Linked DNA regions of Tribolium castaneum. The protein of the gene in region 2 interacts with the protein of the main gene of each other region in a biochemical or structural test. Links are inferred from orthologs where the notes say so. Each region holds a gene or a part of one and is shown on either strand. Other genes may lie near its edges.

Region 1 (4,941 bases), on a different chromosome or scaffold from region 2:
ATACTAGCTTTGAATTTTGACAGTTGACAATTTTGAAAATTCTAGAAAGGTTTTCGAACCTTTGGTTATCGAATGCAAAAAAATTATTCACTTAATATAAAGAGTTTAAGAACTGTGATATTTTAAATAAACTCCTGTAAATGAAAATTTTAACAAGAAAATTGACATATGTCTAAAACTATGACAGATAGGTGCCAACAACTTAAATAAATTTTACTCAGTTTAAAAAGGTGAATTCAAAAATGCAGTAAAAATGTATGGTTATTATTTAAAATTTCAAAGTTGTCGTAAATTTTTTGTAGTTTCGGAAGCTTAACCATTTTGAAGAAATGGTCAATTTAGATCGTATACAAAGTTTTAAAGCTCTGGCTATTAACGACGTTTATTTGACAATTGTCACTCGGCTGTTACTTGACATCATACAACTAGATTTGATTAACTATTATTTTTTTTAATTTTGTGAATTTTTTAAATAGTATTTTTTAGTATAAAAAATAATATCTACCAAATTATAAAAAGAAAAATATAGATTACAATTTAAAAGAAACTAGTGGAATACAGCCCAAAATATACTATGATATTTAGAAAATTTTTAAAAGCACCAGCTTATACTACATTAAAAGCGGTTTAAATACCTTTTTTAATTTTTAAAATCGGGCCGTAACTAAAAATTCTATAGAGCCTGACGATTTTAAAACATCACCTTTTACATTAGATTAAAAACGCACTGAAATTGATTTAAAATAATTTTACCACTGTTATTAAAATTTTTCCCGAATTGTAGGAGTTCCTTGTTTTTATTTTTTTAATAATTAATTCGGACTTTATTTATTTATGATTGATTCTTTCTTGAAGAGCTATCAAGTGATCCTAAAATTTCTGCATTAACTTGTCTTTTGATTTTTTATTACAAATTACAAAGGAACATAATTTTGGAAAATTGTAGTATTTCGCGAGAAAAATATGTGATTGAGTGTTTTTTTACCTAAATTACATTAGGAAAAGTCCGTCCGTTCGCACCCAAATGAACCGGATCACAATTCAGTCGAAACTGAGTCACACAGTGAGCGTCGCGACGCTATTGATTTGGAACTAGAATACGTCATCCACCTACGATAATGTACCCGATTTATGTTCGAAAAATGTACCACGCGGTACAACAATGAATGAAAAATACTTTTAAAAAATCGCCCGATTATGTTTCTAAAAATATCTCAATTGTCGCGTTGCTTTATTGAAAAATTGCAGTCGTTGTTTAAGTTTCTTGGGGATTTGAAAAGGGTAGTATTACTCACTTTTTAGGCCTCATATCACATCAAGCATTCAGACTGAAATCGCACCGAAAAATAAAACAGTTACATTGTCTATTAAAACACGAATTGATTTATTTGAGAAATTTTTTACTTGAAGACGGCTTTCCAAAGGGCTATGGCGTTCACTGGATGGATCCAGGCAACCGGTATTGATTATGCGCAGAAATGATGGCAGTGTATCACAAAATTCGAAAATTTGATTAGAGTGGCAAAAAAATGACAAACTCAATTGTGGCATTACATTTACAAAATTGTACATTTGTGTGACATGTAATTTCTTTCAGCAAATAACATTAATGGAATTGGAATTTTCGAATTTTTTAGGGAGTTGCGTAGCGTCACGTTGGCGTCAACAAAATCAAATAAAATATTGTATGTCTCACGGGTGGTGATGAAATTATGAATTAAAGAAAAAATAGTTCTAACATTATTTTGAATTTTTTTTTTTTTGAAATATGGCGCCAATTATATTATCAAAAACAAAAAAATTGCACTAAAACGTGTGATTTTGATCGCAATAAAAAAATAGGAAATAATTTTTGAACTTTGGCCCAGCTTAGTAAATCGCTTGATTTTGAGCTGGCAAATCTTTGGTGTGTTTTTTGTACTCTTGTAAATGCTTTTTGATGGGTTTTTTGTAATGGAAACAAAATATTGTTTGAATTTTCCGCTTTTTGTATCGTAGGTGGCGCTTTGCTGGAAAATAGAGAGAGAACGACTTGCATCTTTCTCCAATTCGTTGTCAGTTGTCAACATGGCGTCATTTGTGTAAAAAGTGTTGTGTATTTTAAAAGAATCTCAATTTTAGATCTAATTTAATTAGTGTGTGTGTGAAAAAATGGCTCTTCCAGCCAATTACAAGCAAGTAGCGATGCAAATGCCTAGCCCTCAAACAAACCGTAAGACAAAGTTGCAAGAAAATGCATTTTTCCAAATAATATCTATTATTCTGACGTTATTACTATAATTTGACGCGAATTGCTGTAGATTTTCCAGTTAGTTTTTGAAAATGTTCGAGTAAAATCCAGTAAAGGAGCTTGCCGTTCGCATGAGTATTTTTGTAAGACGCTATTTATTATTTTTGAATTATTGATGACAAGTCATAATAGCATGAACTAGGTTATTCTAAGCTAAATGCTATGGTTTATAAATTATTTTTTCCACTAACACCCGCATTTATAAACCATAGTAGACTCTTTTTTTGTAGAATAGTGCTGATGATTGCTTTGTTTGTGTTTGTTGTTCAGATTTGCTGTCGGCAGGCGTGCCCATGACTTTCAACATATTGAAAGGTAACTGCAATCTTCGTTTTATTAACATTTTACAGAAGTTTCAAACATTCTTCTAAAATAATTAAGCTTTGCTTCTTTCCATCATCATCAATCAATTCAATGGAAAAGAAGAAAACTGTAATTACAGTTTTCTACTTTTTTTTTGACCAATTGGTGGCAACAAAAAATGTTGCCAACTCGATTTCGTAGTCAGGGCGGAGAATGTCAGTAGAATTTAAATTAGCTAAATTTTGCTCTAGGCTTATTACTTATAGTAGTTGCACTTTAACAAGGTTTTTCATTCATTTGCTCTCATTTTTAATAGTTAAGGTAAGTAGTGGTGTTTTGAGTCATTGTTGCACGTTTCGTTTGAGGTAAAATCGAAATGAAAAATAATTTTTATTCTAGAGCGTTTGAGAGCGTCTGGAGGGTCCGGATCTGGATCAAATGTAAGTTTTAATTTTTTTTGGGTTGTTTCTTATCTGTAGAGAAGGATTCTTGGGAAGATAAAGAAATTATTTTGTACATTTTTTATTAATTCCTACTGCAGGAAAATTAAAAGCAATAATTCTGAGATCTCAGTGACTTAGTGAAACACATAAAAACATTAAAAAAAATTATGTAAATATTGTCTTAATGTAGTAATTTTTCAAACTGTTTTTTGATTTTGAGCACATTTTTTACAAAAATTTGAGAAAAAATTGTATATGATTAAAAAAAAGACAAAATCGTAATGTTATTCTGATCCGATTTCGTGATTTTTTCGATCATTTTTAATAAAATCTGAAACAGATAATCGAGAATTTATATAAAACTACTGTGTTCAATCAATTTATATTTTTTTGCTTTATTTTTGACAGAAAAACCTGTAAAATTGAGTGAAATAAATAAAATATCAATTTCGATCTGATTTCCTGACTGTAAAAGTCTTGCTTAAATAATAAATATTTACTTTTTTAACAAAAGAAATTTCTTTCGAGTTTTCCTGGTTAGTAAAGTTTCCCAAAATCGGGTTTCTATGGCTATTTGTTCTTCAAGTTAGAGTTCCTATATTGGGAGAGTTGGGACACTGAACGTCAAACCGAGCCAATTTTGTATTATGTGGATAAGGTATATATTTCTATCCTTTTTTATTAAAATTTTTGTTAGTAACTTATGTCAGAGGTTTATGTTGAAAATAATTTCAAGGTTATAATTTTTGTCAAATGCATAAAATGACATAATTTTACGTCAAATTAAATCAGGGACGTAGAAAACGTAGAAATTTTGGGATTACTATTTAAAAAAAGAAAATAATTGAATACCTATCAATATTAATGTTCACATTTCTGAAATTTTTCAATATTTATTTTAATATTAAATACATAACTTAAAACATACTTCAATGCTAAAAATGCTTTTCTTTCAATCACAATTTTTAGTTAAACATCTCGTCCCAAAAATTGGTCATCAAGAACCCTTCATATTTCCTGACGTCTTTTTAAATTTTCTAAAAAATGATATTGAAGATGTTCTCGTATGAAAAACGTAACAACATCGTGAATTCCCAATAACTTTATAATTTGAAACAGTAGCTAAAGTTCACGTAGATGGCGGCCAAGCAGTAACAGGTTCAACTTTCCTAAAAATTAGAACCAATTTTGGGTTCAAGTACCTACGTCTTTTGTAAATGCATAGACAAATTCCCAAAATCTCATAAATTTTGTACATAACATTATTTCGACAATCCACTTTTCCAAATGCTTGTTAATAATAAACGTAAAACTTGGCAGGAAAGGTTCAGTTTCTCTCTCTTTCATCGATGATTACCATTTCTTAAAATTAAGGAAAAAATGTTTATGATGAAGAATTTAGACGTAAAATTCTTGTACTTACAAAGAAATCTCTTTTAAAATTTGGAGTTTATATAAAAAAAACAGTGAATTGACGACGACTGCCAGTCTAAACCATTTCTAAACGCAGTTAGTCGACGAAAAATGGAGACATTTTTTGACAAATTTATTTGACTTTTCGCCAAATTTCAAGTGTAACACCACTGATTTCTATCCCAATTTGTTTTTTTATACATTCCAACCGACGTATATGAAACAAAATTTCGAAAATCGACATTCAGTGTCCCAACTCTCCCAATATAGGAACTCTACTTCAAGTTACGTAAAATACAGGTCAATAAATCCTGCAGTTATTTTTACAGAAAGAAACAAGTCCGTTTGTAACAACGCCGAATGGCCATCCTGGGTTTTTACCACAAAAAGTGGGAAAGAGTTCGTCGGTAAGTATTTCTATCTTTCTCACAAACCCAACTTATCTACTGATAATTCTCACTTTATCTAGAACAAATAATATTTACGTATCTA
Region 2 (4,941 bases):
AGAAACAAAAAAAATACAGGCAGATAGAGCATTAAATTCTAATTAGTTTGCTCAGGAACAAATAATTAATTAGTAAATGGGGCTCCGAGTCGTTTTACGTGTAGATCACTTTTTCGTAATTTTTGGCAAACTGGAAAAATTAAAACATCCAAAACTACGAATTATAAAACAAACGTGAGGACAGATACGGAATCCTCAGTCAATTTTACGTAAGAGAGGCATATTTTTGACCTATATTTTTGATTATTGTGACCTTGATTATTTTTTTATTGGCAGATAAGTAAATCAAAATTTTGATTAAGTTGTTTTATTCGATTTATATTCAGAATTTTGACCCGATTGTTACTAAATTTTGTGCAAGAATAGGTAATTAATTAGTAAAGAGGGCTACAAGTCGTTTTTAAAAGTAGATTTATTTTATTTGTTTTTATTTTTGGTAGACTGGAAAAATGGAAATCCGCCGTATATCGTCTAAAATATCTTCAAAACTACGAATCGTAGAACAAAAATGAGGAAAAATTTGGAATCCTCAGACAATTTTACGTTAGATGGTCATATTTTTGACCGATATTTTTGGTTATTGTGATCTTGATGATTTTTTTATTTGCAGAAAAGTAAATCAAAATTTTGACCAAGTTGTTTTGTTCGGATTATTTTCAGAATTTTCATTAGATTTTCACTAAATTTTGTGCAGGACTAGATAGTTGATTAGTAAAGAGGGCTACAAGTCATTTTTACGAGTAGTTTTAATTCTTTTTATTTTATTTTTTGTAGATTGGAAACATAGAAATCGACCGGATATCATCTAAAATATCTTCCAAACCACGAATCATAGAACAAAAATGAGGAGAGATTCGGAATCCTCAGACAATTTTAGATTAGATAGATTTTTTTTTATTTTTGGTAGCTTGTAAAAATGGAAATCGACCGTATATTGTCTAATATCTCCAAAACTACCAATCATAGAACAAAAATCAGGAGAGACTGGGAATCCTCAGACAATTTTACGTCAGCTAGACGTAATTTTTACCTGTATTTTTGGTTATTGTGATCTTGATGATTTTTTTATTGCCAGATAAGTAAATAAAAAATTTCACCAACTTGTTTTATTCAAATTATTTGCACAATTTTGAATCTATTGTTACTAAATTTTGCACAGGAATAGGTAATTAATTAGCAAAGAGGGTTACAAGTCGTTTTTACGACCAGATCTAGTATTTCTATTTTTTTATTTTTGGTAACTAAAAAAATGGAAATCACCATACATCAGTTAATATCTCCGAAACTACGAATCGTAAAACAAAAATCAGAACAGATTTATCAGAACAGACATATTTATGACCTATATTTTTGGTTATTGCGATCTTAGTATTTTTTTATTGACAGATAAGTAAATTAAAATTTTAACCAAGTTATTTTATCCGGATTAATTGCACAATTTTGACTGGATTGTTACAAAATTTTCCTCAAAAACAGATAATTCATTAGTAAAGAGGGCTACAAGTCGTTGTTACGAATAGATCTATTTCTACTTTTTTAAATTTTTGCTAACTAGAAAAATGGAAATCATCTAATATCTCCAAAACTACAAATCGTAGAAGAAAAATGAGGACAGATTTGGAATCCTTCGACAATTTTACGTTAGACAGACATATTTATGACCGATATTTTTGGTCATAAGATGATCAATTAGCAAAATAGGGTTACAAATTTAGCTGAGTTTCAAACCAAAATTTGTAGGTTCCACCGTACAGAAAAAGAAATAATTATGGAAAATACTATTTTACGCCAAAGTTTTAAGACAGGATACTCACTTTGCCTGTTGGTATCTCAAACCGGCGCCAATTGTGCTCGCTCTTGAACTTGTACGCCGCCAACAGCATGTGGCACAAGGCGCCCCCGGGCTTAAAATCCATAAAATACCGCACCGGGATGCGGATCATGGGCGGCTTTTGCACATTTTTGCCCAAAAAGTCCTCCTGGAATTGCATCAATTGCAAAACCAACATGGAGAGACTCTTATTAGTGACAGGTTCGGCTTGAAAATACTGAAACAACCACAATGATGGGGGCACTCACAGCGCTCAGAACCTCACCTTTTTGCCATTCTTCTGCAGCCACTGCCTCACAAGCTCGAGGGCCGCGAGGGTTTCCGGCGATTCGAAGTATTTCACGTTAGGACCGCCGTCCTTTTTGGGGCCGTAGCCCATCATTTTGCCCACAGAAGAATAATTCCCGACTTACGAAACTACCGTATTACTGAGACTTAACTAAATTGTACATTACTTTGGTAAACTTTACAGAAATATACAAATAAATAGCGTAAATTTAGCGAAATAAACCGACGCTTGAATATCACAATAATGTCAATTGTCAAAATGCGAAGTATGGGCAACCAGTAATACGTTATCCGGGGCGGGAAATTTGAATTTCGAGCGTGAGCGTGTTTGCAACACGTGCCCACGCTTCACGGGCCGATGCACGTTCACTGTCATGGACTGGAAACGTTCACATGTAGGGAAATAACAGATCAAAACAACTTATGTAAGCCGAAACGTGTGAAATGAGCGGTCGTGAATTTTCCTGGCGTTACCTAACAGCTCACGTGAAACGTGACCGCAGCTGAGGCATTTCCGAAAAAAATCGGGTCTTCGCGTTGTCTGAAGCTCGACGGGCTTATGCTGGGCCTCAAACGGGGGCGAAACTGCCAGTTTTGGGGCTCGGGTACCTCGCCCCCGTGGCCAAAAGTTTCGCTCTGATAGGTGTAATAGGTAGGGATCACGTGGGTCTCCACGTTACTTTGAACGTGATCTCTGGTTTGGCTCATGTGCAAACAAACAAACAATCCCCGCGTTACGTTCCGGTGCACGAATGAGCTCGCAGCAGTGGCGTGCACTGAAATTTTTTGGCAAGGAAAAAAAAACAGTTACAAAAACTTACCTCTTTGTGATCTAATTCAATTCTCCTCCCTTTTTCCTAATTCCGTTATCACGACATGTTTATACACAATATTGAAGTAATGAAGCACCAAAAATGAGAACATACTAGCTTACTAGCATAGGATATACAAACCAAATTTTTGCTTCTATTAACGTCACTTGGGTAAAAGTTACAAATTAACAAAGCTGACGCCTATACTAGGTATTCGGTTCAGAAAAAAGCTTAAAAATAAAAACGAGCGCTTAGAGTATTATTATTAGACCGCCTCGTCTCTAGATTGTTTTAAATTATAATTAAAACTTACGTAACTGTGAATAGTTCATTCATGGATGGAGAAAGCGCAGAAACGTTGAGAAGCCATTTTTTTTTATAAGCTAACATCAGAAAAAAATCATATTTATAGTTTTACAGAATAGTTTTGCTGAAATTGGTAAATGATTTTATAATTAATATAGTTTATAATATTTTTTTTACATTAGCTTTATTTTTTTTTATTATATTTTACCATTCCCCTATCTGGCGTTAACTTTCTTGTGTGTCCTGTGTTGACTGATATTTAAGTTCGCGACTTTATTAGAAAAATTTTCCTAGTTTTTAGGTCTAGCTCAACTAAAAAAAAAAAACACTAAAAAAGCCTAAATTCCTTGTCAAAATACCTTTCATTTGAGGTATTTCGAATTGTGAAGGTGTTGTTTTTAATTTTTTAATACAAAAGAGGTAGGTGCTACAAATTTCGAAAGGACACTAACAGGTGTCCCCTGTAAATAAAAATTGACCTGTTTTCGGATTTACTAGTTTTTTTGTTTGTTTTCTAACATCCAGGGTGATTCGTTAAAAAAACAATCAGTTAAAAAAAGGATCATTTTTTATCACTTTTCATAATATTTTTTCTTCATGAAATAGAGCATCTTGTTTGAAATATTGTCAGTAGAGTTCAGTTCTAACAGAGATTTTTCTTTTACAAAAAAATCAAGCGTTTAGAAGTTATTTCACCCCAAAATAAAATGTTTTCAAAAATTGGATCACAAAAATTATTTATTATTTATTATAATACAGAGCCGGCTCTACGGACCGTGAAATATATGGACGGAGAGGCAAAAAGGATCCACAAAAAAAAAACTTTAGGTGGTCAATAAGAAAAGGGCTAAAAATTTAATACAATCCATTTTGAAAATGGTAACTTTAACTGAGATTTTATTGCAAATGGGTCTATAAACGCTAAAAAGTACACCCTATTCTATTAAATACAAAGATTTTTGAAATTTTTTTTAAGGTTTGGCGTTTAATTGATTTTATTTTATCAAAATTTTGCAAAATATTATTAGCATTTTTGGACAAACAAGCTGTTCAAATATAAAGCCGAGTCAAAATTTTTGATACAGTTATGTGATTTTTCAAACCTCGGTGATACAGTTATCGGAATAATTGCGTTCCTGGAAAAAAAACCGTGTTATATAACGTAGAAATGGTAAAATTGTATCATTTTCGATTTAATTTATTCATTTTTCAGCCAGATTTAGCAAAATTCTGATTAAAAATATTTTTATTTTTTATTAGTGATGAAAAGCTCTTTTTTTGAAGTAGGTAATTTTGAGATTTTTCAGCTAATTTTTCGCGAAAATTTGGTAAACAACGTTTCTGACTCAAAATTTAGCACATTTTGAGTCAGAAACGTTGTTTACAAACAAAATAAATGTAGTACTTACTTACTTTTCGGATCAAATTTAGCGGATTTTTGTGAAAAAGGCAAAACAATTAAACATTACTTTGACTTTTACGCTTATTATAAACAAAATTATTCAAAATAATCGCGTTTCTGAATAAAAAACGTGCTAAAACGGTCGAAAAATGAAAAAATATTGAAAATCTTTACTTATTAGTTTAGTACCTAATTATTCGTTCTATTTTTATAAATTCTCGCAGAAAAAAAAAAAATAAAAACCAAAAAATAACACTATTCTCGAAACGATTCGGTGATTTTTTAGAGTATTTTTGATTAAA

The links. The genes of interacting proteins can lie anywhere in the genome.
Region 1: the proteins of mor (region 2) and Bap111 form a complex in vitro, tested with the Drosophila melanogaster proteins (2 studies listed by BioGRID, with this or other methods). The link is inferred for Tribolium castaneum from reciprocal best matches to the Drosophila melanogaster genes mor and Bap111.

The regions. Positions count from the first base shown.
Region 1 is NC_087402.1:571,321-576,261, forward strand, and holds the start of Bap111 (SWI/SNF-related matrix-associated actin-dependent regulator of chromatin subfamily E member 1), read left to right. Parts: upstream 1-2,037; 5' UTR 2,038-2,151; coding exon 2,152-2,212; intron 2,213-2,560; coding exon 2,561-2,605; intron 2,606-2,653; exon of another isoform or gene 2,654-2,914; intron 2,915-2,992; coding exon 2,993-3,033; intron 3,034-4,292; exon of another isoform or gene 4,293-4,398; intron 4,399-4,459; exon of another isoform or gene 4,460-4,738; intron 4,739-4,766; coding exon 4,767-4,856; intron 4,857-4,919; exon of another isoform or gene 4,920-4,941.
Region 2 is NC_087395.1:15,650,188-15,655,128, reverse strand, and holds the start of mor (SWI/SNF complex subunit SMARCC2), read right to left. Parts: upstream 2,928-4,941; 5' UTR 2,214-2,927; coding exon 2,097-2,213; intron 2,049-2,096; coding exon 1,815-2,048; intron 1-1,814.